Rattus norvegicus: one gene and its partners. The protein of the gene in region 1 interacts with the protein of each later gene in a biochemical or structural test. Links are inferred from orthologs where the notes say so. Each region holds a gene or a part of one and is shown in the gene's direction. Other genes may lie near its edges.

What was found.
Region 2: the proteins of Jun (region 1) and Runx2 form a complex in vitro, tested with the Homo sapiens proteins (2 studies listed by BioGRID). The link is inferred for Rattus norvegicus from reciprocal best matches to the Homo sapiens genes JUN and RUNX2.
Region 3: the proteins of Jun (region 1) and Ets1 form a complex in vitro, tested with the Homo sapiens proteins (2 studies listed by BioGRID). The link is inferred for Rattus norvegicus from reciprocal best matches to the Homo sapiens genes JUN and ETS1.
Region 4: the proteins of Jun (region 1) and Batf3 form a complex in vitro, tested with the Homo sapiens proteins (2 studies listed by BioGRID and IntAct, with this or other methods). The link is inferred for Rattus norvegicus from reciprocal best matches to the Homo sapiens genes JUN and BATF3.
Region 5: the proteins of Jun (region 1) and Atf2 form a complex in vitro, tested with the Homo sapiens proteins (4 studies listed by BioGRID and IntAct, with this or other methods). The link is inferred for Rattus norvegicus from reciprocal best matches to the Homo sapiens genes JUN and ATF2.
Region 6: the proteins of Jun (region 1) and Runx1 form a complex in vitro, tested with the Homo sapiens proteins (2 studies listed by BioGRID). The link is inferred for Rattus norvegicus from reciprocal best matches to the Homo sapiens genes JUN and RUNX1.
Region 7: of the proteins of Jun (region 1) and Mapk10, one has a biochemical effect on the other in vitro, tested with the Homo sapiens proteins (7 studies listed by BioGRID and IntAct, with this or other methods). The link is inferred for Rattus norvegicus from reciprocal best matches to the Homo sapiens genes JUN and MAPK10.

The regions. Positions count from the first base shown.
Region 1 is NC_086023.1:115,010,027-115,014,492, reverse strand, and holds the start of Jun (transcription factor Jun), read left to right. Parts: upstream 1-1,499; 5' UTR 1,500-2,357; coding exon 2,358-3,362; 3' UTR 3,363-4,466. UniProt on the Homo sapiens protein: Transcription factor that recognizes and binds to the AP-1 consensus motif 5'-TGA[GC]TCA-3'.
Region 2 is NC_086027.1:23,867,383-23,871,141, forward strand, and holds part of Runx2 (runt-related transcription factor 2), read left to right. Parts: intron 1-1,484; coding exon 1,485-1,963; 3' UTR 1,964-3,759. UniProt on the Homo sapiens protein: Transcription factor involved in osteoblastic differentiation and skeletal morphogenesis. Essential for the maturation of osteoblasts and both intramembranous and endochondral ossification.
Region 3 is NC_086026.1:39,362,247-39,366,472, forward strand, and holds the start of Ets1 (protein C-ets-1), read left to right. Parts: upstream 1-1,180; 5' UTR 1,181-1,459; coding exon 1,460-1,541; intron 1,542-4,226. UniProt on the Homo sapiens protein: Transcription factor. Directly controls the expression of cytokine and chemokine genes in a wide variety of different cellular contexts. May control the differentiation, survival and proliferation of lymphoid cells.
Region 4 is NC_086031.1:105,219,495-105,223,774, forward strand, and holds the start of Batf3 (basic leucine zipper transcriptional factor ATF-like 3), read left to right. Parts: upstream 1-1,287; 5' UTR 1,288-1,332; coding exon 1,333-1,401; intron 1,402-3,655; coding exon 3,656-3,760; intron 3,761-4,280. UniProt on the Homo sapiens protein: AP-1 family transcription factor that controls the differentiation of CD8(+) thymic conventional dendritic cells in the immune system.
Region 5 is NC_086021.1:79,136,501-79,140,259, reverse strand, and holds part of Atf2 (cyclic AMP-dependent transcription factor ATF-2), read left to right. Parts: exon of another isoform or gene 1-21; coding exon 22-171; exon of another isoform or gene 172-210; intron 211-1,101; exon of another isoform or gene 1,102-1,137; coding exon 1,138-1,344; intron 1,345-3,759. UniProt on the Homo sapiens protein: Transcriptional activator which regulates the transcription of various genes, including those involved in anti-apoptosis, cell growth, and DNA damage response.
Region 6 is NC_086029.1:45,414,773-45,418,531, reverse strand, and holds part of Runx1 (runt-related transcription factor 1), read left to right. Parts: intron 1-3,556; coding exon 3,557-3,713; intron 3,714-3,759.
Region 7 is NC_086032.1:7,039,745-7,043,503, forward strand, and holds part of Mapk10 (mitogen-activated protein kinase 10), read left to right. Parts: intron 1-1,582; coding exon 1,583-1,707; intron 1,708-3,759. UniProt on the Homo sapiens protein: Serine/threonine-protein kinase involved in various processes such as neuronal proliferation, differentiation, migration and programmed cell death.

The DNA.
Region 1 (4,466 bases):
AAGGGGCACCAATTGACCACCTTCTAGTCTCAGAGTCAAGACTAATGCCTAGCAGCCCGATGTAGTGGATGGACCTCATCCACTCTACTTCTAGATGAGACCAATAAAGTTCAGAAAGTTCTGAGATTTGCACTTTTGCCCTGGGAGAACCAAGCTCGCCACCTCTTTAGTCAGTCTTAAGGGGTAGAGGGTGGAGGGCGGATAGCAGAACCTTAGAAAAGAAACAACTTACATGTGTCTAGCGCTTCCTAGAGGCCGCACAGGATATGAATCCACCATCGAGCGGGGAGGGGATTTTTCAGTCTTTCTACCAGGGACTCCTGCTTAAGCACCGTGACTCGGGGCGAGTCCGCAGCTCTCAAGGCTTGTTTTCCCAGAAGCAAATCAGGGAGGGAGGAAGGGCGGGCGCGAACTGAGTGTGCGCGGGGCTGTGTGTATGTGCTAGTGCAGGCGAGCGCTGGGGTTTCCTGAGTTTCGAACCTTTATATGTTGCTTTCCATACCCCAAGGAGCCGGGGTGGCATCTTTCACACCTAGAAGGGGGTCCCTCCGAGGTAAAGCGAACCCCTCCCGGCACGTCCCCAGAAAATGAAGTGTTGTGCCGGGGACCCTGGTGAATTCATTCCGAGCACAGCAAATCTCTGGTTTCCAGCACAGCACACTGCGGCGCAGATCCTTCTCCGAAACTAAACTTCCATGCGCACTCGGCGTGGGAGGGCCACTCTCAAACCCGCTCAACTTCAACCCACTTGCCGCTCCCGCACCCGGGGCGAACACAACCATATTAACCCGCGTCGCTCTGTCTCCCGGAAGTGCGGGGGTGCGGAGCCAGCTTCAATCGCCCAGATCATTCAGCCCTTTCACGGGTGTGTTCGTGTGTTCGTGTGTGTGTGTGTGTGTGTGTGTGTGTGTGTGTGTGTGTGTGTGTGTGTGTGTGTAACCTCTACTCCCACCCAAGCCCTCCGCCCCAGGCCACCAGCGCGTCTCCCCAGCTTTCTGGATCCCCGCGTCTCGGTCTGGGTCCCCAGCCCTGAACTTGAGCCCGCCTCCGACAGACTCCGCAAGGGTCCAGCGGACCCGGCAGCCTCCGTCACTAGACAGCCAAACCAAGACGTCAGCCCACAATGCACCGGGCGGGCCGGGAAAGACGCGCCGGGGAGGGAACCCGGGAACACAAGCCGGAGCAACGCGCGGGAGGGGGAGGGAGGTGGAGAAAGAAGGGCCCAACTGTAGGAGCGCAGCGGAGCATTACCTCATCCCGTGAGCCTTCGCGGGCCCAGAGAAGAATCTTCTAGGGTGAGGTCTCCATGGCGACGGGTGGGCCCGCCCCCTTGAGAGCGACGCAAGCCAATGGGAAGGCCTTGGGGTGACATCATGGGCTATTTTTAGGGATTGACTGGTAGCAGATAAGTGTTGAGCTCAGGCTGGATAAGGACTCAGAGTTGCACTGAGTGTGGCAGAGACTGCCTAGCTGGAGAGCGCTCAGGCAGACAGACAGACGGACGGACTCGGCTAACCTGGTCGTCCGCGGACTCCGGGCTGTTCATCTGTTTGTCTTCATTTTCTGACCAACTGCCTGGATCCAGCGCCCGCAGCTCCTGCACCGGTGTTTTGGGGAGCACTTGGAGAGTCCCTTCTCCCGCTTTTCCCGGAGAAGAAGCTCACAAGTCCCGGCACTGCTGACAGCATCGAGAACGGCTCCGGACCGCGCGAGGAAATAGGCGAGCGGCTACCGGCCAGCAACTTTCCTGACCCAGAGGACCGGGAACAAGTGGCCCGGAGCGAACTTTTGCAAAACCTCTTCTGCGCCTAAGGCTGCCACCGAGACCGTAAAGAAAAGGGAGAAGAGGAACCTATACTCATACCAGCTCGCACAGGCGGCTGAAGTTGGGCGAGTGCTAGCCGCGGCTGCCTAGCGTCCCCCTCCCCCTCACAGCGGAGGAGGGGACAGTTGTCGGAGGCCGGGCGGCAGAGCCCGATCGCGGGCTTCCACCAAGAATTCCGTGACGACTGGTCTGCGCCGCCGGAGAACCTCTGTCGCTGGGGCTGGTCCGCGGGCTCCGAGGAACCGCTGCTTCCCGAGAGCGCTCCGTGAGTGACCGCGACTTTTCAAAGCTCCGGATCGCGCGGGAGCCAACCAACGTGAGTGCAAGCGGTGTCTTAACCCTGCGCTCCCTGGAGCGAACTGGGGAGGAGGGCGCAGGGGGGAGCACTGCGGTCTGGAGCGCACGCTCCTAAACAAACTTTGTTACTGAAGCGGGGACGCGCGGGTATCCCCCGCTTCCCGGCGCGCTGTTGCGGCCCCGAAACTTCTGCGCACAGCCCAGGCTAACCCCGCGTGAAGTGACCGACTGTTCTATGACTGCAAAGATGGAAACGACCTTCTACGACGATGCCCTCAACGCCTCGTTCCTCCAGTCCGAGAGTGGCGCCTACGGCTACAGTAACCCTAAGATTCTGAAGCAGAGCATGACCTTGAACCTGGCCGACCCGGTGGGCAATCTGAAGCCGCACCTCCGAGCCAAGAACTCGGACCTTCTCACGTCGCCCGACGTCGGGCTGCTCAAGCTGGCGTCGCCGGAGCTGGAGCGCCTGATCATCCAGTCCAGCAATGGGCACATCACCACTACACCGACCCCCACTCAGTTCTTGTGCCCCAAGAACGTGACCGACGAGCAGGAGGGCTTCGCCGAAGGCTTCGTGCGCGCCCTAGCTGAACTGCATAGCCAGAATACGCTGCCCAGTGTCACCTCCGCGGCACAACCTGTCAGTGGGGCGGGCATGGTCGCTCCCGCTGTGGCCTCAGTAGCTGGCGCTGGCGGCGGCGGCGGCTACAGCGCCAGCCTGCACAGTGAGCCTCCGGTCTACGCCAACCTCAGCAACTTCAACCCGGGTGCGCTGAGCAGCGGCGGTGGGGCGCCCTCCTATGGCGCGACCGGGCTGGCCTTTCCATCGCAGCCCCAGCAGCAGCAGCAGCCGCCTCAGCCGCCGCACCACTTGCCCCAACAGATCCCGGTGCAGCACCCGCGGCTGCAGGCGCTGAAGGAAGAGCCGCAGACGGTGCCGGAGATGCCGGGAGAGACGCCGCCCTTGTCCCCCATCGACATGGAGTCTCAGGAGCGGATCAAGGCGGAGAGGAAGCGCATGAGGAACCGCATCGCTGCCTCCAAGTGCCGGAAAAGGAAGCTGGAGCGGATCGCCCGGCTAGAGGAAAAAGTGAAAACCTTGAAAGCGCAAAACTCCGAGCTGGCGTCCACGGCCAACATGCTCAGGGAACAGGTGGCACAGCTTAAACAGAAAGTCATGAACCACGTTAACAGTGGGTGCCAACTCATGCTAACGCAGCAGTTGCAAACGTTTTGAGGACAGACTGTCAGGGCTGAGGGGCAGTGGAAGAAAAAAATAACAGAGATAAACTTGAGAACTTGACTGGTTGCGACAGAGAAAAAAAAGTGTCCGAGTACTGAAGCCAAGGGTACACAAGATGGACTGGGTTGCGACCTGACGGCGCCCCCAGTGTGCTGGAGTGGGAAGGACGTGGCGCGCCTGGCTTTGGCGAGGAGCCAGAGAGCAGCGGCCTGTTGGCCGCCACGCTTTGCGAACGGGCTGTGCCCGCGCGACCAGAACGATGGACTTTTCGTTAACATTGACCAAGAACTGCATGGACCTAACATTCGATCTCATTCAGTATTAAGGGGGGTGGGTGGGGGCTTACAAACTGCAATAGAGACTGTAGATTGCTTCTGTAGTGCTCCGTAAGAACACAAAGCAGGGAGGGCTGGGAAGGGGAGGGAGGCTTGTGAGTACCAGGCTAGATTGCGGATGAACTCCCCTGGCCTGCCTCTCTCAACTATGTATGTACATATATTTTTTTTTAATTTGATGAAAGCTGATTACTGTCTATAATAAACAGCTTCCTGCCTTTGTAAGTTATTCCATGTTTGTTTGTTTGGGTGTCCTACCCAGTGTTTGTAAATAAGAGATTTGAAGCATTCTGAGTTTACCATTTGTAATAAAGTATATAATTTTTTTATGTTTTGTTTCTGAAAATTTTCAGAAAGGATATTTAAGAAAACACAATAAACCATTGAGAAGTAGCCCCCAACCTCTCTGCTGCATTATCGATAGATAATGAGAGCTAGGTGAAATGACAGCTGAGTGTCTGTATGCTGGGGTGAGAGCCTGTAGTCCCTCCCGTCTGGTTGTAGGAATAGACACCCTGCATGCTATCATTGGCTCATACTCTCTCTCTCCCCAGCAACCCACAAGTCCAGACTGTTGACCAGAAGATGGTGCAGTGTTTCTTAAGGCTGGAAGAAGAGGGTGTTGCAAGGGGAGAGGGACAGCCCACTGGGAAAGCAGACGCTTGAGTTGAGAGCCATATCAAGTAGCATGCGCTGTGATCGTTTATAATAATAATAAAGACTTCAGCAATTAGATGTTTATCTCAAAGCAGGGACCCATGGA
Region 2 (3,759 bases), on another chromosome or scaffold:
GCCACTATGTATGACAAATGCATTTCACACACTGAATCCCAGAGTACGGTGAAGATTACGAACAATGTTCATTTTAACAAACAGTACCACCCTCTGACAGACCCTTTCAAGACACATAGCCAGCTGTCAGAGAAGAAGGGTTGAGTACAAATCAGGCTGAGGGACAATTATGGTCTCCAGATCTGCCCGGCACTTTCTGTTACAGCTAAAACCTGTAGCAAAGGCAGATTGAGAATCTAAGTCGAGCAGTGAGGGGGGCTCCAGAAGACATCACAGACTTAGCACGTAAACATGGATGGATGAAACAAAAGGTCTTGTAATTCTGTTGGTTCTAGAAAATTATAGTGAACCCCTAAATCACAGCTATGCGTTTTATCCATTTCAGGAAACTAGTTTCCACGTGCAAAGTCTTCTAGCCACACTTTGATGAGTTAGACAGCAGAGACATCTCCTAAGGAGACACTGATAACTTGTGAAAGTTCTAGGAAGACATCTAAGCTTTGAAAGACCCAGAGCTCACTCTAGTGCAGGGGACAGGGAGCTGGCAATGAGTCTCTCAGCTCAATCTCTCCAAGGCACTGGGTTCTAATGAAAGCTGCTGTGGGTCCCTGGCCTAAATCAGGTCCTGTGTCATTTATCAAGGCTCTCTGTCAAGGTCCTCACCCCACCCTCCACCCTTCCACCACATCCCCCCACCCCCATCCTCCACCCTCCCTCTCGATACCTTCTTATCTAGTTTATGACTCAAGGGAGAATTTCTGAGGGCTAGGCCTTCCCCGACACCCCCGGGCAAAAGCTAGATAGTGTTAGATTACTGAAATCTACTCTGATTTCGCTGTGACTAAGATGAGAATTACCATAAGATTTTTAAATTCTCTTAAAGGTTAAGAAGAAATAGTAAGACTATGTTAAGGGAATCTGTTTGATGCACTTTTCTTAACAAAGAAACCCATCCCCCGCCCCCATCCTTACCTCCACCCCCAAAGGGGACACTAATCCTATTACTTGGGATTTATCTTTTTACACTGAGTTAGGAAGAATCAGTTGATCTGATTTAGTAAAAGTTTCACTCCGTGCAATAAGAAACAAAAAGGAAGGGATGTGTGTGTGTGTGTGTGGGTGGGAGTGGGGGATCAATGAAGATCCAGCCTTAAAGTCTGGTGAGTGATCCTGTGCCTGGAGTTGGGCTGGCTTCCACACAGGGCCTAGTTGGCACTTGCTGGTGAAAGCCCTTTGGGACTCTCTGGGTGTGGAGGAGAACTCAGGGCTAAATAGCATTGAGACAGTAAGGTGGACAAGTAAAGTCTGAGGTGAGAAGTACATTTGAAAACCTGTATGTGACTTGCTGGTCCTTGGGAGAAAGCTTCCTCTTTTCCCTTCTTTTTAATTTTTTTTTAAAAAAAATCTTGTAACGTCTCTATCATTTTAATTGATATTTACAGATGTTTCCCCCCCCTCCCCGTCTTCTGTTGTAATTTTTTTAGGTGCTTCAGAACTGGGCCCTTTTTCAGACCCCAGGCAGTTCCCAGGCATTTCATCCCTCACTGAGAGCCGCTTCTCCAACCCACGAATGCACTATCCAGCCACCTTCACTTACACCCCGCCAGTCACGTCAGGCATGTCCCTGGGCATGTCCGCCACCACTCACTACCACACGTACCTGCCACCACCCTACCCCGGCTCTTCCCAAAGCCAGAGCGGACCCTTCCAGACCAGCAGCACTCCATATCTCTACTATGGTACTTCGTCAGCGTCCTATCAGTTCCCAATGGTCCCCGGGGGAGACCGGTCTCCTTCCAGGATGGTCCCACCGTGCACGACCACCTCGAATGGCAGCACGCTATTAAATCCAAATTTGCCTAACCAGAATGATGGTGTTGACGCTGATGGAAGCCACAGCAGCTCCCCAACCGTTTTGAATTCTAGCGGCAGAATGGATGAGTCTGTCTGGCGACCCTATTGAAGTCTGTCAACCGTGCATGGCCCAGTGGCATGCAGTGGCCACGTCCCACATGTGTTAATATATACATATATAAAGAGAGTGCCTATATATGTATATTGATTAGCTATCTAGAAGATTTCTCATTCACTCCCCAGTTGTGATCTGGCAACCCTAAGAGTGTGGGGACAGTCATTACTGGGTTTCATATTGTTTACTATTTAAGATGTCTCCTCTACCAAGGAGCAGACCGTCAAAGGTGTTATCTGGTCTGGTTTCGTAAGTGACCTGTTCCCACAACAATTCAGAGAGGTGGACTCTGGGTCCGGGAGGAAGAACGGCCACTTCCTCCCTGTGCTTTGCAACCAAATCAAGGCCTCTGCTGTGTGGAGGCCTGTGCACTCTGCAGACCAGCTTACAAAGCTGTGGTGCACTCGGAAAGGGACGAGAGGCAGCGTGGCTGCTTCCCCTACCGTCCACTCTGAATACCTGTTCCAAAGCTTCCCTTCAGACTTGATGCAGGTATGCGTTTGAACTTTTGAGTTCACTCTTTTTTTTTTTTTTTTTCTATTCTAAGAAAGTGACTTCAAAAATACTGATCAGGACAGATTATTTTATTTTACTTTTTTAAAATATTCCCTCACTTCCCCCATTTAACCAAAAAATAAGTCCCATTCCCCTCCCCCGTGCCTCCTGCTTCTCCCTTTATGCAAAACTGAAAATGGCAATATCTTATTATAGCCATAATGATATAGTGTTTGAGTTGGCTGTGTGTTGTTTGTTTTTACTTTCTTTTTTTCCTTTTTTAAGTTATGAATATGTGTAAAATCTGAAGTAACTTGCTAACGTGAATGGTCATATAACTTTAAAGATATATTTATAATTATTTAATGACATTTGGACATTTGGAACATTTCTTAGTGTAATGGTCTGTTGACTTCGGTCTCTAAAAGTGCTTCTTCTTAAATAACAAGTTTCTTCAGTGGGCTAGAGCCATATCGGAAATATTGCTAAGCAATTTCAATTCCTTCAGGCATAATGTGATTTTTTTTTTTTATGATAACTCCCATTTCCAAATATTTTAGTTGTAGTTTTGTTTCCATGATGTATGAAGGAAATGCTATGCTTCTTTCTTTCAGGTGTTTGATTGCCTCTGACACGGCTTTACCTGTTAAAGCAATAATTAGGGATTAAAAAACAAAACAAAACAAAACAAAAACCACCTATAACCCTGCAGCCCTTTGACGCTTAATGCGGCCTCTTTGCTAGCATTGAAATGCTGGAGACATGTGGTTTCCTAATTTCTTCATTTTTGGGGGGTGGGGGGTTGGCCATTATGAGTCTTGTCATATTAAAAAGCCAAGCACAAGTGATTGGCCGAACTGCAGAAAAGTGTTCTGTGGTCTCAGAGTTGAGCAGAACTCTAAATTGCAGGCTTCGTGGTTGAGGGCCTAGGCAGCTGAAAGCCACACGTGTAGTAAAGGCTCAACCATGACACGTACAGCCTAGGAACACAGATGCATTAGGAGTCTGCACCCCCCCCCCAGCCTTACCACACAGCCATTCAGGGGAACCCAAAAGTGCCTTACCCAAGGAGCCCCCACCCCCAACAGCAGCTTTGCAGGAAGTGGAATGAAGTCAATGTCCTAGGGGAGCTGGTCAGCTGAAGTAGTAGCTGATGTCAGTAGACACAGAGCCTGTGGGGACCTCCAGGAAGCCTTTGATACTCAAGGCTCTCACTAGGGAGGGCCGTAGAGAGCAGGGAAGACAATGTATGTAGCAGTTGGTGTCTGCCATCGTGTGTGAACATAAGATCCAGC
Region 3 (4,226 bases), on another chromosome or scaffold:
CATATTTTCCTCTGGTCACCCAAGAAGGGTGGAGATGGGAGATGTGACCAAGACCCAGAGATTGACACTCTATTGCTGTCCCCACCCCACCCGCCTGATTTGTTTTGGGAATCCCGTACACTGCTAAGGCTCCAAGGGGCAAAACATGCTTAGCTAAAAGTCAGCAGGTGTGAATAAGTTTACTGGAGCAGAAGTTACAGTTGCAGGCAAGTGGTAGCAGTTCAACACATGCTTAGAAATCAGGAAACAGTACTAAGAATAGCTTTCCCTGAGGTCTCTCAGGACGATTTATTACGTTGTCTTTTATTCAAAGGTAGATGTCAATACCTTGCTGGCTTCAGCTACACTTACGGTACCATGCCTTGGAAGATTTGTTCATTTATACCAACTATCTCGATGTATAATGGCTATCAGCGGCAAATTATCTATCGGTTATTCTCACTCATCTTGATATATATATATATATATATATATATATATATATATATATATATATATATATAAACAGAATAATTAAAACACAGTTACAAGTTCTGGATTCCCTTGGCTAATCCAGGAGCTTTGGAACTTTGAGTCTTTGGGATCTTCAATAGGCATGGTTCTGAGCTAGTGAAGCCGATTGAGGTTTCTGTTCAGCAATGCTGTCCTTGCCTTGCCCATCCATTCCACGGGTGGGATTCTGAGTCACGTCTAGGCTGGAATCCTCGCAGGACCCCCCCCGCTGTGGAAGCCCCCCCGCACGCGCCCCTCGTTGCGCACCCACGCCTCATGTCCTGTGTGTCAAGCTTTGTGAATGAATGATGTACACGCACTTGGAAAACTATGCTGCTACTGGAGCGGGGCCGCAGCGGGTGACCAAGCCTCTAAGAATGCGTGCAGAATCAGACGGACTTTCCCGAGACTCTGCACGCCAGCGACCCGCTCGCCAGCCATTCTCCGGAGCGGTGGGCCGAGGCTCTGGCCCGGCGCGCGCAGAGTAGCTGGAGCGGCGCCGCCCCGCCAGGCTCGCCCGCCCTTCCTTTCGCTTTTGGAACGCGGGTGATGATTGGCTGCAGGCGCTAGGCCCCGCCCCGCCGCCCCATCCCCGCCGCCCGGTCGAGTGGGCAGGGCAGGCGCTGGGATCCTGGGCCTGGGCTCGGTGAGGAACGCCCTAAAGCGGAGGCGAGCCTCACTGCGCCAGCGCCGGCCAGCCGAGAGAGTGAGCGAGCGCCCGGGACAGAGGAGCGAGCGGGCGAGGCGCGGGCGAGGCTGGGACCCAAGCGCGCTCTCTGCTCCGCCAAGTGCCAACTTCGCGCCGACTGGCTGGGCGCGCACCTTTCTGCCGGGCGATCAGCGGGAATTTGAGATTTTAGGGCTGCGCTCTGTCCCCTTCCCCTGAGTTCAAAATCCCTATTAAAAAGCAAAACAACAGTTACAGCAAACTTGCTCTCATCCCGCCGGCCCCCTCAACTCCGGCACCATGAAGGCGGCCGTCGATCTCAAGCCGACTCTCACCATCATCAAGACAGAAAAAGTGGATTTGGAGCTTTTCCCATCCCCGGGTGAGTGGCGACAGTGAGGCCCCCACCCCAGCTCCGTGTCCCCTCTGGCCTGCGCTGCTCTCTCAGGAGCCCGGGATGTCTAGACCAGGAGACTGTTGGTGGCCTGAGACCCTTGGGTTTTTTGGGGGTGGTGGTGGTGGTCTATTTATTTTTACAGCTGCGTTTTTTGTGACTAATGGGAAAAAGCTTATAGAATTTCCAGTGCCCCAATTCCGGTGTTTCAATTTTCCCACATAAGCGAGAACCTTCTGGTAGTATTCCTTAATGTTAGCAAGGGGGCCTGACAGTGCCTCTCAGGTCACCCCCATGCCCCTCCCAACTGTGTCTCCCCAGTACTGGAGCTTGATGGGAGGGTCCTGTGGAGTGCTGAAAGGGTATTTGGCTAGCTGCCTGGCCTTCCAGCACTTGTATCCTGAGCTCCCCTGTCATAAGAACCTTAGAGTCTCACCCCTCTTTTCTAGGTTGAGGAGGAGGTAGTGGGAGGAGAAATAAAATGAATCTGTTTAAACTTTGGGAAAGTCTGATTCCTTCCCCGTTCAGTTTGGCTTCCCATACCAAAGGTCCTCGAAGAAGAAAAGCATCCACCAACCAGATGTGACTTAGTGTCTTTGGTTCATGGTTTCATTTAGCAGGCTTAAAGGATTTGAAGAGGAGAGGGAGAGAAAAGACATCGAATTTTGTCTTAGAAGGGAATTTTAGTGTTCCACAGATGGAGTCAACTCTTCAGGATTCCTGAAGCTAGCAGGGCGTCAGGGAGTGTGCCTACTTTTAGAAAGGAAACTGGTCTCAAGGAAAGGTGACTTGGGAGGTGAAAGGATGTAGAGAGATACAGGGAGAAGGGGATACGTTTTGGAAAATAATCAGCTGTCAAAGACACAGACCTCTGTTGGGTCTGATTAGCCGTAAGGGTTGCTGCTGTCCCTGATCCTTGCCTCTGCCAGGAAGAACTGCATATTTAACCTGTTCTTTATACTTTACATACAAGCCAAGATGAGGTGTTGACATTCTGATGTACTTCAAAGTGTTAATAGAGGCATTTGGGTCCCATCCCTTCCAGAGACTCTCCTGATATTCAAGGGCAGGATTGCTCTGTACAAAAACTGGGCTTGTCACAGTGTGGTGGCAGTCAGAGCCAGGCTGAGCTGGGGGTCTCTCCTAGCGCTGTGCAGACGTCTCAGGCACCCAGGGCTACAGATAGAAATGGTGCCGCGAAGGTTGTTTTGGGGTGTTCGAGGGAGCCAGGAGTTCTCTGTGTTACGATGGATTGAAACCACATACAGCAGAAGGGAAGGGCTAGCTCACAGGGAAGGGATATGAACTCAGCTAATAGGCCCTTTCCGTAAGAATGGCTTGTTTATACGCGCTGTGCATGTTTATGGGGAAGAGACAGATTTGGGATCTGGGAAACATCATGTGTATTCTGTCAGTTCACATACCTACAGTGGACCTTTCAGGCTGGCAGCGAGTGAGAGCGAGCCCCTGGCCGCACGTGTTTTAGATCACACCAAATAGCCGAAGCGTGTGTTTTGGTAATTTAATATCAAGTATGTGGGATTTGAAAGCATTTGATTCCATTACTTCAGTTATTGATGAAAAAAAAAAAAAAACGAACTGTGTCTGAGGAACTTCATTGAGCTGCTCCACCAGTAAGATAGAGCTAGGCAGGCCTCTGCTGCAGTCCATTTTCACTATTTGAAGTGACTTTACAGTGGCTTTAAAAAAAAAAAAGTCAAAAAGGTGTTCAAGGAATGCAAGTTGGAAGTGAACCTGGGGGCTACGTAGTGTATTCAAGATATAGTGAAATCCATTCTCAAAATTAAAAGGAGGAAAGTTTCCAAGCCACCGAACTTCATGGCAACAAAGCAACAAAATTTCATTTGGTCCAAGAAATTGTCTTCTGCCATTCAGGATGACACACACACACACACACACACACACACACACACACACACACACATATATATAATATAGTATTAATCTATATATAATATATATCATCTATATATATCTGATACTTTCTTAGACAAAATAAACAGCAACGATTTATTATTATAACTTTTTTAAAGCATTTTTTTCCTGGACTGTAGTTGCATTGATGCAAATATTGCACCCATACCCCAGATGATATGCTAGAGGCACACGGAAAAGTTAAAGACACTTAGGCAAAATTTTGCAAGGAGCCAGTGGCTGCAGGAAGATGAATCCGTTTCTGACTCGTCAGGGACATGCAGTGAGTGATACTGCAAGTTACCTTTGTTGGCTCAGCAAGGAAACTTCCATGGAGACTTAGAATTTTTTTCCGTGCAGAGATGGAGGAAACCCTAGCCAGGACTGGTATCTTTTGCTAACAGAAAGAAGGCTATTAAGTAGATGTCAAGTAGACCTTTACCTGGCCCATCAGGTTATATAGGACATCTGTGTCAAAGGTTGACTGTTCGCAGCATGGGGTCGTGTGCACAACTGGGACCTGAAGTGTTTATCATCATGGCTTTTCTTTGTAGTGCTCCATTTCTCACGAGTGGAGACAACTTGTGTCGTGTGGTGATGTTACCTCAGAGGTTAAACCAGAACTTCCTTTCTGTTCCCTCCCCAGATTCCTAGAATCAAAGAAATGAAGTGGGAAGTCTGAGGGTCCAAACTGGAGACAGGACACCTGGAATATTTGTTGGCCTCTCTGTAGCTAGG
Region 4 (4,280 bases), on another chromosome or scaffold:
TCTCTCTCACACACCCACACACACACACATACACACATGCACGCGCGCACACACTCTTTATGTTGTTGCTAGAAGAGGGATTTGGGCGGAACTCATAGCATGGAAAGGCTCTTCTATTAATGCATGGTTCATGAACACTGGCTATGCTATGACCTACTAACACATATGACCATCTCTCCTCGAGCCTGAAGCCAGCCAGGCAGGTTCAAACAAGTTCCTCTCTCCAGGCTGAGGTCTTAAATCCTGGCACAGAGCCATGCGCACCGGGTGGGGACTCAGGAAGGTCACCTCTCCCACTGCCCAGAAGCCAGAAGGCCAAAATGAACACGTGAGAAAGGCCACACTTGTCTGGTTCTCACCTGTCCCCCCAGTTCGCGGTTAGCTTTTCTCCCCTAAGCACAGACCACAAGTCTGCACCTGTTAGGGTTTTTTGTGTGTTGTTTTTCTTTGCTGGGCACAGTCATCTTGACTTGGTATTTTAAAACCCGGCAGGCAGGTGAAGAGGGGTGAGATATGTCTCTACCTAGTCTGGCATAAACGTGGCAACCATGTAGTTTAGTCTTTAGTAGGTATCACCTTAATCTTAAGAAGCAGAAGCAGCACGGCCTGCCCATATCCCTGAATACGTGAGGATGGACGGCTAGTGTGGAGGACACCTTTCACAGTTTCAGTTCACAACCTCCTTTTGCCGCCTTCCCCCAACCCCCATCAGAATCCGCCCTCCGAGTCACCTCGCCCCCTCCCTCCTACTGGACCGGACGACGCTGCGGTAGAAAAGCCCTGAGGCTCCCGCTGCCCCGTTCGCGCGGAGGGTCTCCGCCGCTGTCCCTGCCCACTGGCGCCTCCGGTCCAGGTGCCACGTCGCCCGGAAGAAATGCCCCCCATCGCCGGTAACCCGCGCTTGGGAGTAGAGGGGAGGCAGCGAAGGGACAGTGAAGCCACTTCGTCCGAACTTCCCCGGAGCGGCCGGAGGACCGTCCAAGGCGGCGCCGCGCCAGCACCTCGTCCCCACCCACGCGGGGTCTCCTCCGTGGGTGGGCTTCGGTGCTGCCACGTGACTTCCACGAAGCGCCTGGCCTTTAGCGGAAAGCAGCGACTTGGGTGGGATCCTGGACCCCGAGGTGCGGCGAGAGGGCGGGGAGAGGAGGAAGCAGGGGCGGGGTGGGAGCAGGGGGCGGGGACGGGCCGGGACTGGACGCGGGGTGGGGAGGCGGGCACGGCCAAGCCCGGAGAGCGGGAAGCAGCGGGGCGGGGCGGCAGGTGCGGGGATGCGGGCGGAGCGCGGGTAGCAGAGCCCCGCGTTCAGGGCGCCCCGTGTGGCGAGCGCGCGGCATGTCGCAAGGGCCCCCCGCGGGCGGCGTGCTGCAGAGCAGCGTGGCGGCGCCTGGGAACCAGCCGCAGGTAGTGGACGTGGGGGCCGGGTGCGGGGACCGGGTGAGGGTGAGGCCAGAGCTCCAGGTGAGTCCCCTCGGTGCGCCTCGAGCGCTTGGAAAGGCTGCAGCCGCTCCGGACTCGGCGCCGGACACGTGGGTCCGCGCTGCTGGGGGCCGCTGCATCCTTGCCTCCTGTGGGAGCTGGAGGGAGGGAGCCTGGAGCTCTGATATTACGAATTCAGCCCAAAGGGGCGGTTCGTCCCTGCATCCAACCTACTGGTTGAGATCCGTATGGGGAACATCGGACCGGTCAACCTGCGGGTGTGGGGTTGTGTCTCTAGTGGGCAGACTCCACCCCCAGCACGGGTGGAAACTCCTTGCCCCAATACGATCAGCCCTCCCTGCTGTCCCTAACTTTCAAAGCTGCAGTCACAAGAAGCTGAGACCAAATCGAGGGCCAACTTGAGACCACTGTTGGAACACTTCTTGGCCACCTTTATCCAGACCAGGTCTTATATTTCTTAGTCACTCCCCCAAAGACTCCCAACTCTCTACTTGATGTGTAGTGTCCCAGGGCGACCCTGGAAGTCTGAGCCAAGTAGTTGGGGTGGCCTTGTACTACTATTTGCTTCTGACTAGCCGAGCCTCGGTTTCCCCATCTATAAGATGAACTCTATAGCATCTCTCTCCTGAGGATGTGTACACAGGTTATGTGAGCGATGGGTGATTTGTGTCTCCATATGACATTCCTGCTGAGTGGGGAGGTGCGATCCTCCGTGACAGGTGATGGGTCCAGTTTACAGTGACAGCTCCCAGAGGACAGGAGGCTCCCAGACTTGTCGGCTTTGGAGACTAAAGAGGCATTATTTCCTGTCAAGCACAGTGAGGTCAAATCTCAGGTTATATTAGGGGAGCAGTATCCTGAGTGCAGGGCAGGATCTCAGTTACTATATACATTGGAAGGTTGGGGGTCATGCATCTAATAGGGTTTGTGAGGGTGTAAAGCTGGTTACGTTGTTCATGTGGCATGTCCCCCGGATGCTCCACATATGTTTGTAAGACCTTTTGGGTGTGGTGATGCAGAAATAGAATCCCAGAGCTAGGAAGGAAAGGGAAGGGCCAACCTGGGCTACATGAGTCTCTGTTGAAGAAGAGGGGGAGGAGGGGAGGAGGAGGACTTCTGGGAGACATGTTTTGACACCTGTGTTCTCCTGAATGATGTCTCCATGCCACCCCCAGTGTTGAGTCTGATGTCTCTTCTTACCTATGCTGGAGATTCTTGGCTGAAGCCCTGGGTTTGTACACCAGCCTCTGGGTTTTATCATGGCTTGGGATTATACCGAGCCTCACCTGGCCAGGCAAGAGCCTGTCGCTAAGTTCCCTCCCCATCTAGACACCTTCTAGACAATTTTTTTCCTCCCCTGACAGTGTCTAATGCAGTTCTGGAAAGCAAACCCTTTCCGCTGAGTAAGCCCCTCACTGTGACAAGGGCATTTTTTCTGCCTGCCCACTTTGTGCCACCTCATGAAGAATTTTTGGATGTTTGGTTAAGAACTCTCAAGACGAATCACAGATTTGCATTTGGGATAGCCCCTGGCCCCTGAAAAGAAAATGTCAGCCAGGCATTGTTCAAGAGAGCATGTTGTCATTGGTGTTCCACAGTTTTCCATGTACTGGTAGAGTTGTGTGGTTGAGATTGGTACTAACTGCATAATTATGGTCTGTACACAGTTTCAGAAGGACTCGACAGTGTGCGGTCGTTAAAGGCTGTGCACAGCAAGTTCTAGAGAGCACATACCCCGGTCTTTCTCACTAGTGGATGAACAGTGACAGTAGCGCTCTTCCAGGCAGAAGCCCTGCAGGGCAGAGGCTTGTGAGCATTGGTTTGAGGACCAGCAGACCTGAGTTCCACTTCCCACTCACCCTCATGCTGGCCATGATACCTGGAGAACTTCCCTAACCTGAGTTTCTTATTCCTCCTTGTCTCTTAGTGTTTTTATTTTTTTGTGGTCCGGGGCCTCACATATCCCACACATATATGGTGCCACTGAGCTACACCCAGACCTCTTATTCCTCATTTTAAACCGACAGTCGTTCTGTGCACTTTCCAGGATGGGAGTGGAGATCAATGTAGCAAAGCCCCAGCACAGAAAGGGTCCTCCTGACAAAGGCTTTCAGCAGCCCACGGGGCCGCAGGGGACCCCATCCAGGGCACCAGATGAAAGCTCTGTGAGCAAATCGAGAAAGGTTGAGAGTCTCACCTCCCCACATGTCATCCCCAGAGCCCCAAGGATGATGACAGGAAGGTTCGAAGAAGAGAGAAAAACCGGGTTGCAGCTCAGAGGAGCCGAAAGAAGCAGACACAGAAGGCTGACAAGCTTCACGAGGTAAGCCTGCGGTCAGGGCAGCCATTCTGGCAGGACAGCCACAAGGACAGCCATCCATGCAGGACAGCCACAGGGACAGCCATTCTCACAGGATACCCACAGGGACAGCCATCCTTGCAGGACAGCCACAGGGACAGCCATCCTTGCAGGACAGCCACAGGGACAGCCATTCTCACAGGACAGCCACAGGGACAGCCAGTCATCCTCTACCCAGGGGATGGGGCATGATGACAGCACTGTGGCCATCGCCAGTTCTTCCAGTCTGATTCTGTTGGGTCTTTCCAGTCTACTGCTTTGCTTATGTATTCACAGGCCTCTTCCTCTCAGTTCCAGCCCCCTGGGTTCTTCCCACACTTGATTTTCTCTCACTGTGCACTCAAACAAAAGCTGGATGGAAACAGGGAGGTGGAGACAGAGTACCTAGGCTGAGGCTGTTTCAGACAACAGAGAAACTGTCTAAAGAAACAACAATAACAATGCTAACAGTACTTAAAGTTCTGGGGGAGCAGTTCAGTGCAGC
Region 5 (3,759 bases), on another chromosome or scaffold:
AAAATGGTGTTTGCATTTCAGAGATTAAAAGCTGCTTTGACCCAGCAACACCCTCCAGTTACCAATGGTGATACTGTAAAAGGCCACGGCAGTGGATTGGTTAGGGCCCAGTCAGAAGAGTCTCGTCCACAGTCCTTGCAGCAGCCAGCCACGTCCACTACAGAGACTCCGGTACGTGTGTTGCTTTCACCGTTCACCATTCTGGTCATCCTTAAAAAGAAAATACAGTACAGCTTAGTGACTTCTTTATATAATTATAGTCTATAAGCTTATGAGTAGAGTATAAATATAGCCATCTTAATTTGATATTTGTTTTGTGTTGATAAAGAATAATTTTTCAAGTTTATCCTTTGGATCACATGCTAGTAGTCAGAAGGTCTCGTTCCTCAGCATCATATCCAAGAGGTTTATTTGATTTTATTTTGTTTTGTCTCCCACACTGTGACAGTCTGTGGCATGGTTTGGGATTTGTAAGACTAAGAGGGCACCTAACATTGGACAGTTCTATTATGCAGTCTGATTAATGACTAAAGATTTATATCCTGGGCTGAATAAACTGGTCCATTAATGAAAAGCCAAAGGCCCCTATGGGGCTCTCCACACCTGGAAAATAAATATTGTAGAAATAACTATTTTAATGCAACTGGCATATTTAATATTTTTTACTTCAAAATAGAATTGAAAAAAGTTATAAATTTATAGTGACTGGTTTTCAAAGAATTAATGATATAAAATCAGTTAAAAATAGCATTTGTAAAAATAGTTTATCAAAATACACATAATTTTTTTTCTTTTATTGTCTAGCTGTGGGTTTCTGTAGTTTTTCCCATATGCTGCTGAAGGAATTTTGTCTGATAATGGCTGAAAAAGGCATGGATCTATGAGTATAGTAGAATTTCTTTAGCAAGACACTAAAAAATACATTTTAAGGAAGTCATTGACTATATATTGCATTGAGCATTTCACTATCACATAGTTATTGAAAAGGGATTCAGCCATAGGGTGAATTTTGTTCCACAGTGCTGATGTCATCAAGGCATACAACATAAAGTTAGCAACCCTCCCTTTTATACTGTGTCTTGCCCCTGTTAATTTACTTACTGCACACTCACACGTAAGCTCTCCATATTGTCACAGGCGTCTCCAGCTCACACAACTCCACAGACCCAAAATACAAGTGGCCGTCGAAGAAGAGCAGCTAATGAAGATCCTGATGAGAAAAGGAGGAAGTTTCTAGAACGAAATAGAGCAGCAGCTTCAAGATGCCGTCAAAAAAGGAAAGTATGGGTTCAGTCCTTAGAGAAGAAAGCAGAAGACTTGAGCTCACTAAATGGCCAGCTGCAGGTATGGGCGTAAATGCAGTTTACTTCTATTGATTAGTTAGGAACACAGTTTTTTGGGTTTTTTGTTTTGTTTTGTTTTGTTTTTTTCTTTTTGGCTTAGTTGTTTGGTTTGGTTTGGTTTTGTATGTGTGGCTTTTTAAGTCAAGGTTTCGCTATTTAGCCCTGCTGTCCTGGAACTCCCTCTATAGACCTGGCTGGCCTCCAACTCAGAGAGCCTCCTGCCTCTGCCTCCTGAATGCTGGGTTTAAAGGTGTGCACCACTACCTCTGGCTAGGAACATAGTTTTTACATTTCTCTCTACATGATCCTGCAAATACTTTAGGACATGATATATGCAGCATGTATGTGGACTCGGTGGTAAGCCATGGTTTCCTAAACTTTGTGAATTCTGACCTGAAGTATTACTAAGCTTTCAGCCCAGGCACAATGAAGAAATTTTATCTGTAACTGTTTATTTGTGTGGTACACAAATACTGTAATTACCTTGCTTGAACTTTATAAAGTTGTTATTTTAGGTTTATTAACCACAAAGTTGTTCAGTGGCAGTTTTTACATTCTTTCTTTGAATTACAGTTCTATTGTTCTTTCTTTTTTTTATTTTATCTTAAGTAACTAGTGCATATGAAAGGTGCCAGATTGACAAGCTTTGGAAACTGAAGGCTTCTAATTATCCACAGGACAGATACTGTTCGGCCAAGTGCCATAACAAATTATTTTATACTGCCCTGCTGATGTGCCTCAAATACATTTCTTAGGATCTCATGTGTTATAAAGATTTTAAGGCTCTCCATTTAGCTGTTTGGTAAGTGTCTTAGGGTTTCTATTCCTACACAAAACATCATGACTGAGAAGCAAGCTGGTGAGGAAAGGGTTTATCCAGCTTACACTTCCACATTGCTGTTCATCACCAAAGGAAGTCAGGACTGGAACTCAAGCAGGTCAGGAAGCAGGAACTGATGCAGAGGCCATGGAGGGATGCTGCTTACTGACTTGCTTCCTCTTGCTTGCTCAGCTTGCTCTCTTATAGAACCCAAGACCACCAGCCTAGGAATGGCACCACCCGCAATGGGCTGGGCCCGCCCCCCTTGGTCACTAGTTGAGAAAATGCCTTACAGCTGGGTCTCATGGAGGCGTTTCCTCAACTGAGGCTTCTTTCTCTGTGATAACTTCAGCTTGTGTCAAGTCAACACATAAAATCAGCCACTACAGTAAAATTTGCAATAAAAGTATCAGTACCAAATGTGTTTCTCTCCTTCCTTCCTTCTTTCTTTCCTTTATCGCTTTCATTCTTTCTTTGTTTTTGTCATTTTGCTTTTGATATTGTGAATATTCTTCAGTAGTATCTTTTGAACTAACAATTAACTAGAAATTAATGTTAATAAATTATAGTTGTATATTATAGGTCAAGTTTTTGTTTGTTTAACACCAGGACTAGAAGTTAGGGCTGCAATATTCTACTACATTGCCTCCTTTATTATTTTGAAGTTTTAGCATAGGGAGCTAAATTGCCCAAACTTGCTTAAACTCAAGATCTTCTGGTCTCAGCTTTCCAAGTAGCTGGTGTTGTAAATATATGAATAGATCAATCTTTTGAATTATCCATTCCCTGTTTTAAGTGACTCTTCCTATATAAATACAACTTACAGTAAGAGGGACAACTTGCTTCTTAAACCTATGTTAAAGGTGCCACAAATAAAATTGTTTAAATTGTGTCCTGTATAACACTTACCCAAACTAAATTTTATAACAATAAAATTTTCCTATGTGAGACAGACAGACATCCTTAAAAGCCTTTGTTGCATTTTGTATATTGATTTGGTTATTTTAAGACAAACTGATTGCCTCTTAAAAAACTTATTTTAGCCACCTCTAACTTGTAATTTGAAAAAAGATTAATCATGACTTACTAAACAGCATAAACTCCAAATATATACTAGAATTTAGTAAGAAATATCATTATCCTGACAAATGAATTTACTAAAAAATAGTTTCTTAGAGTAGATTTCATTTCTCTTTTAAGTAAAAATGAAACATTATACATACACTGATGTACATGTAGACCATGAAAACTATTCTTTGCCAAACCTAATTAAAATATCAATCACTATTATTTACATTATCAGATACTCATGCTAAATGAATTAAATATATCTTTTTATTGTTCTTAAAACTTTTTAAAAGTTTTTTGAAATTATAATTTACATACGTATCTCTCCCCCTTTACTCCCTCCAAACTCAGAATATACTCCTTCCACTCTCCTTCAAATTCATGACCTTGTTTTTTGTTTCAACAAATTATTACTTCATACACACACACACACACACACACACACACACACACACACACATACTAAATATAACCTGTTGAGTCTATATAATGCTGTGTGCATGCTTTGAGACTGACTTTTTTGACACT
Region 6 (3,759 bases), on another chromosome or scaffold:
AAAACTCAGACCTCTGGATTAATATCTGTCACCACCTCTGCAGTCCCACAGAGGGAGGGCTGCTCCAAGGAGTTCAGCACCCTGCTGACCTCAGTCAGTAGATAGAATTTGCGGAGGGAAAGGAGGTTTAAGGATTGATTTTAAGAGGAAGCTGTACTCCAAAACAGACGGCATCCTTGCTGTATTTGTTCTGGGTCCCTGGTCCCTCTGTGTGCCAGTCCCTACCAAACACACTGAGGTGGGTTCTACCGGAAAAGGTTGTTCACATTCACTTTTAAATTAAGACCCAGGCATCTCTTTAGGGGTTAATCCTGCAGGAATTATCCTATCCCCTGAGATAAAAATCAGATCATGGGAAGCAGTGCGTTCAGATCATAGGGAGAGCGTCTTCCAGAATCTGCTGAAGTTTTGTTAAGTCCTCCGCTTCAATCTTCAGAATTGTCAAGAGATTTAAAATCACGAATTCCTTGAAAATAGATTAAAATGTTGCTCATGGTCCTCCTACCCCTCTCTGCACCTGCACACCTGACCTTTTAGCACAGAGAAACCGTTTCAATGCTGAGAGATTGGGAAGTCTGCTACATTCTAAGCAGTGTTTGCAGATGCCGCCTACAAAGTGGCTTAGGTGACTTGCAATAGATTTTGTAACACTGTAATAGTATAGTTTGTTTAGCCCCTGGTACACCGGAGCACAAAGATAGAAACATACCTTCAGCCAGGAAGTTCAAAGACCATGGGTGCTGATGGAGTATGCTTTTCATAAAAATAAATAAATAAATATAATTCTGGCAGGAAGACCACAATCCCTAGCTATGCATTAAATATCATCTCAGATAAATTATACATTCCACTCCACGGCCTCTTTGAAACTCAGGAAGATTAAGAAATTTGCAGTAAATAAATTGCTAACTTTAACTTCAGCCTCTAAAATTGTTGGAAAATGCCAGTTTCAAACTGAGAACCGGCTAGCCAAGAGCAGTGCTGGGAAGTCCTTAGAGCGGAGAGGGCAGCTGATATTTTGCCCAACTTCCTGATACTTGAAGAAGAGAGAAGTTCAACAAAATATGAGCTATCTTTGGCCAGCAAGTCCCTTCTTGTCTGTTTGGTCTGTGCTAAACGTAAATGTTTCTCTCCCTTACCTATTGTTTATGGCTTTGTACTGCAGATGCCGCTTCGCATTTCTGTTTGAAGTTTGATTTTTTTTTCCTCTCATCCTTTTTATAATCGTCTCTCATTAACAAAACCTATATCCAATCGGAAGACATCTTAGCTTTATATAAAACAACAGTAACACTAATAACCTAGCCTAAGTGCACTTGTCATTGGTTTAAGCATGGTGTTAAATGTCCCTGGATTTAGTTTTGTCTCCTTCCCTACTCCTTCAAAACTCTTTGGAGATAAGTTAAAAAAAAAAAGGCCAGAGAAGTGATAACTGGGCCCCCGGATGCCCCCTTCCCACTTCCTTTAGAAATGGGGGTGTTGCTAGTTAAACTCCTAATTTTTAGACTTTTGAATTCCATCACCAACAAGCTTTTCTTAGCCACCATGGTCCTCTCATGCTGTAGATGAGAGGGCCTCTAGGGTTTGTTCTCTCGGTAATGGGGGGGGGGGGGTCACTGGAGCAACAGTGGTAAACTGAGGCACACTGAGGCCTGGCAGGAGTTCCATGACTCAGCATGCTTTTGGGTGCTAAGGGACAGGATGTACTCACTTTAGTCTCCTAGGAGACATGGCCCGGAGAGTCAGCCATTCAGTTTGGAAGCCCTGCTGTAGATTCGGTACCCTGGATGCCCAGTGGGTGTTGAGATGAACTGGAAAAGCCTAGGTCTCTGTAGGGAGATGAGGACAAGGAAGTGAAGCATTTTCACAGAGGACACTATTCAACACCATGAGTGAACTATGCAGTGGGGGGATGGGGGGTGAACGAAGAAAGAAATGGGGGAAAAATTAGACTAAAATCAGAATTTACAGGAGTAGCATTTTGTAGGAGTAGAAAGACAATAACGATCAATTAACCAGGCTGGGAGATTTACGGCAGTGATGTCCTTTGAAACAAAAGAGTTGTCATATTACCACCCCTAATTAAAGGCCATCAAACACTTGTGGTGGGATAGAAACATCTAATTACAGATTGCTTGGAGAATAAGAGTTTTAAAATCTCCTTTGTAGAAAACGTGTCCAACAGTTGACATGAAAGGGTTAAAAGCAGAGGCAAGGGGCTGGGTCCTTGTTTCACAAAGTAAGTAGCTGAAAACAGATAAAAATTACAGAGATAGCAAGGCACCTACCTGTACCCAGTACCAGAGGGCAGGGCGTCCTGGTGATGGCCTGGCGTCCTGTCTGTCCATCCCTCAAGGTGGCTGGGGCAATCTCCTGACCTATGTTCTTTAGAACTCGGGTATGGAGCAGCCATGATGAATAATATCACCCACATAGCCATCTGCAGGATGTGGAACAGCGAGAAGGGGGCATGACTTCATCAGTAAGGGTGGCGAGCAGAGGGACTGGGTATGAATGCCAGATTAGCAGATCTGTGGCAAGGTTAGTCATTTCGTACGTACAGAAGGAGAAATATCCCTCCGATGGGTTGTGCAGCCAAGGGTGTGCAAAAACTGAAAAGACAGTGTGGCAGCAGGTGAAGCGACGCTCACCCCTACTGACCCGAGAAAACCTGCCTGAGGAGGGCCACACAACTAGGATAAAAGCCAGAAATTTCACTGCAGACTGACAACCTGTGTCTGGAGTGGTTGGAACAAACCGGACTCTCAAGACATTTAGATTTGAAACCCCGTGGCCACTTTGAAAATGGAACAAGGCAAAGAGAGCCAAATCAAGTAAAGACTGAAAAACTTAGCTGAAGTCAAAAGACGCCAGCTTGGTGGCACATACCTGTGAACCCTGGCCTCACCGGCTAAGGCAAGAGGACCGTGAGTTCAAGGCCATTCTAGGCTGCATCATGAAACCGTAGTGCTAAGAGAATCGAATAGCAGCCAAGCCATGGGGGCCAGGCAAGTAAAAGGTGGGGCCAGAGAGACAGCTCAGTAGTTGAGAACCTATGATACGTGATCAGAGAATGGTTCTGACTCCCAGAACCTATGTCAGGTGGCTCACGTCTGCCTACAACTCTAGTCCCAGGGTCCTCTGTGCCTCTGGCCTTCATGGCCTTCAAGAACATGACCACCCACATACACTTAATCCAAAATACTAAAGCAAATCTTTTTTAAAAGTCGGATTAGATCACAAATCTACAAACACAAGACTTCCAGTCTTTCAGATCTGAGGTTGTATGGGATACTGATGAGAAATGGTAGCTTTCCAGTCCCCGTCCCTGTTTGCCTTGTCCCCAACTGTGTCCTCCTGTGGCTTTCTCCCTTTAATCTCCATGTCTTCCTTATTTGGAAATCCACGCCCACCGCTCACAGCAAGCTCTTTCCCGTCACGATACTCGAGTTATGACGGTTCTTCTGAAAACTAGAAAGCGTCACCGTTAAGTGCCACACACAGTCACGTACCTATGACACTGACGTCTGCCTTTGTCCCTTTGGTTGGTGCCTAGGTGGTAGCGCTGGGCGACGTTCCGGATGGCACTCTGGTCACCGTCATGGCGGGCAATGACGAAAACTACTCGGCGGAGCTGAGAAACGCCACCGCGGCCATGAAGAACCAAGTGGCGAGATTCAACGACCTCAGGTTTGTCGGTCGGAGCGGCAGAGGTGCGTATCTGTCACGGGTGGGCTTGGAATTTGAACCCAACTAGTA
Region 7 (3,759 bases), on another chromosome or scaffold:
GCACACTTAGTCCTAATTATTGATGTCAGTTACTAGGAAGCACTGTCATTAAATAGAAATATTTCAAATTGCTCAGCCAACTGTGGTTTTACTCTCTTGAACCAGAAGCTTTACTGTGTGTTTGAAACACATTGATTTATTTTTCCTATTAAAACTTCCAGATAATTTGAGCAACAGTAGTGGTTTAAAGTATTACTTATTCCTGTTAAGAAAGCCCTTCATGTCAAATCTCCTCACATGCTTTAGAAACTAAAGATCAATGTGACCTCAGGGCTAAGTTTTCAACTGAGGTGGTGAAGTGCTTGTTTGTAAGCACTGGGACCTTGGTTTGATTCCCAGAACCCATGTAACAAAAGATGAGCAGGGAGCATGCGCTTGTCGTCATCCATCGTCCCAGTGTTGAGGACTGAGCATGCGCTTGTCATCCCGGTGTTGAGGAAGACTGAGCATGTGCTTATCATCCATCATCCCAGTGTTAAGGACTGAGCATGCACTCATTATCTGGTGTTGAGGAAGACTGAGCATGCGCTAAAGATCCTGGTAGTGAGGAGGACTGATCATGCGCTTGTCATGCCAGTGGTGAGGAGGACTGAGCATGCGCTAATGTTCCCAGTGGTGAGGAGGATTGAGCCTGTGCTTGTCACCTCAGTGTTGAGGAGGTGTGGACAGGTCAGCCAGAGTGATCTAACAGATAAAGTTCCAGGCCTGTCTCAACAGATAAATAAAAGAGGTTCACAGTGTTTGAAGGACAGTACCCAAGGTTGCACTCTGACTTTTACACTTGTGTGTCTGCACACACAGGTGAGGGAGAACACACATGTTTCAAACACAAAAATGGATGCGACTTCAAAAAATTGCGCTATTGAACAAATACCCTTTCTGACTGCCACAGCGTGTTTGCATAACTAGCTCTGCCCCAACCATACAATTCACCATGCCACCTTGTACACGATATGGAGATTTTTATTACTGTCAGCCATGGTATGGGGTGCCTTTAGCCACCAGATTCCATCAAATCATGATTCCTGCATCTCAATGCCTGATGAACGTGGAATGTTACAACAAAACTCAGTAGTTAAAATGTCGTTTTTATAACACCCAGATTGCTTTTACATATCGAGGGCATCTGGGACACATTGGTCTGCAAGTCAATTTGAACTTTACTTAAATTCTGCTGATCTGCTTTGTGTATGAGAACAGGGAAGCACATTGATTGATTTCCTTCATCCGCCTCTACTTCTCAACTGTGCATTTCCGTAGATCGCCATGCGCGATCCGGTCCATGTAGCATCCTTACAGATGAGCCACACGAGTTCCTTTACCGATTCAAACTTCACGGCTGATAAATGCTATTTATAATTCTTAGTGAACAGTCATACTCGAGTATTCACAACGTATAGCCCTCAAAGAGCTCTCAAAGTGGTAACTTAGATTTTGAGACAAAAAATTGAAAGCTTCATTTCTTTTTATAGCATGTGACTATATTAGGATGACTGTGGCTTTTTTTAGCTTGTTCTCCAGACAATAAACACCCGTGCCAAAATGAAAGCTTAGGAGTCTCTGTTCTCTTTTGTCATTTCAGCCAGCCAAGCCAGGGACTTGTTGTCAAAGATGTTAGTGATTGACCCAGCGAAGAGGATATCGGTGGATGACGCATTGCAGCATCCGTACATCAACGTTTGGTACGACCCTGCTGAAGTGGAGGCGGTAAGGCATTGACCACGAACCACCCATAGCAAGTGCTGAAAACAGTTAAACTCACACAGAGGAGCCCACCATGAGTTTTAAGTTCATTTGTTTCCTGGACCTCCTGTGAACCGGGTGGGTTCCGGTGCCATTTCCTGTCGTTCAGGATGGGTTCCGGTGCCGTTTCCTGTCGTTCAGGATGGGTTCCGGTGCCATTTCCTGTCGTTCAGGATGGGTTCCGGTGCCGTTTCCTGTCGTTCAGGATGGGTTCCGGTGCCGTTTCCTGTCGTTCAGGATGAGTTCCGGTGCCGTTTCCTGTCCTTCAGGATGGGTTCCGGTGCCGTTTCCTGTCGTTCAGGATGGGTTCCGGTGCCGTTTCCTGTCGTTCAGGATGAGTTCCGGTGCGGTTTCCTGTCGTTCAGGATGGGTTCCGGTGCCGTTTCCTGTCGTTCAGGATGGGTTCCGGTGCCGTTTCCTGTCGTTCAGGATAGGTTTCGGTGCCGTTTCCTGTCGTTCAGGATGGGTTCCGGTGCCATTTCCTGTCCTTCAGGATGGGTTCCGGTGCCGTTTCCTGTCCTTCAGGATGGGTTCCGGTGCCGTTTCCTGTCGTTCAGGATGAGTTCCGGTGCGGTTTCCTGTCGTTCAGGATGGGTTCCGGTGCCGTTTCCTGTTGTTCAGGATAGGTTCCGGTGCTGTTTCCTGTCGTTCAGGATGGGTTCCGGTGCCGTTTCCTGTTGTTCAGGATGGGTTTCGGTGCCGTTTCCTGTCGTTCAGGATGGGTTCTGATGCTGTTTCCTGTCCTTTAGGATGGGTTCTGATGCCGTTTCTTGTTCACACGTAGGACTCCTCCAGTTTGTCTAACTGTCAGCCTCCCCACAAGCAGGTTTCATGGGAGAGAAGAAGCTCATTGGTGGGGATGCTCCCTCACTTTTATTTCCTTCATGGCACATCGACATTGATACCATGCGGTATTTAAGGATGTTTCAGTAAGGGAGCTTTTCCTAGGACACTGTTGGCTTAGCAACCTACATGAACAATACACAAGAAAGTAGATATTTCAAATGGGTCCTTATTTTCTAGGTTGATTCTAAATAACACGGTATGATATGTCTTTGGTCTTAGACCTATGTAAGGTTTATAATTCGTAGAAACTTAACTCTTCACTTTAAAGATATTTTCAAGCACCTACTTCCTTCTCTGTGTGTTCTTACACATTTACTTCAGCTTCTCTGTGGGGAGCTGCCTCTTAGCTGCTGCCCATGGGGTCTCTGCAGACCTCCTGTTGAGAAGTTTCTTTCTGTGACATTTGTTAGTGTATCTATCCGCAGTCTGGTCTTTTCTTGGAAATGGCAACATGTCTTTAAAGTATTCTAACATGGGTGGTAGTTCAAGTCACTGATGTGATTCTCCAGCTACTGATGTGATTCTCTAGCTTTGCGGTTGAATTTACTCTGAATCACCTAACGCCTTGCTTTTAATCCCTGTGCTGCAAGGCATGCTTGCTTAAAGATAGTCTTGCTTCGCTTAAATTTCTTCTTCTCTGCTCTCTAAGTGTTTTCTGGAGCCAACGGTGCTTAGTCCTACCCTACCCAACTCTGATTTCCTCTTCCTTCTTTCTGTATGTGAGAAACAAGTGGTTAGTGTCCAAAGAGTCTAGGAGGCCCTAGTCCTGACTTCCTCAGCTGCACAAAGGGATCTTTACCATCTTGTGTGATGTTTTCCTAAATTTTGTCCGTCCGAGCAGTTCTACCGTGATGCTGGTGTATCAGTTTGCTTCAGGCTTATTTTAGTAACTTGCTTTGATTTTTTTTTTTTTTTTACAAAATGCAATCTTTCCGGATTGGAGTTTTCTAATATTCCTTTTTTTTATTTATTTTTTATTTTTTTATTATTAACTTGAGTATTTCTTATATACATTTCAAGTGTTATTCCCTTTCCCGGTTTCCGGACAAACATCACCCTCCCCCCTCCCCTTCTTTATGGGTGTTCCCCTCCCAAACCTCCCCCCATTGCCACCCTCCCCGCATAGTCTAGTTCACTGGGGGTTCAGTCTTAGCAGGACCCAGGGCTTCC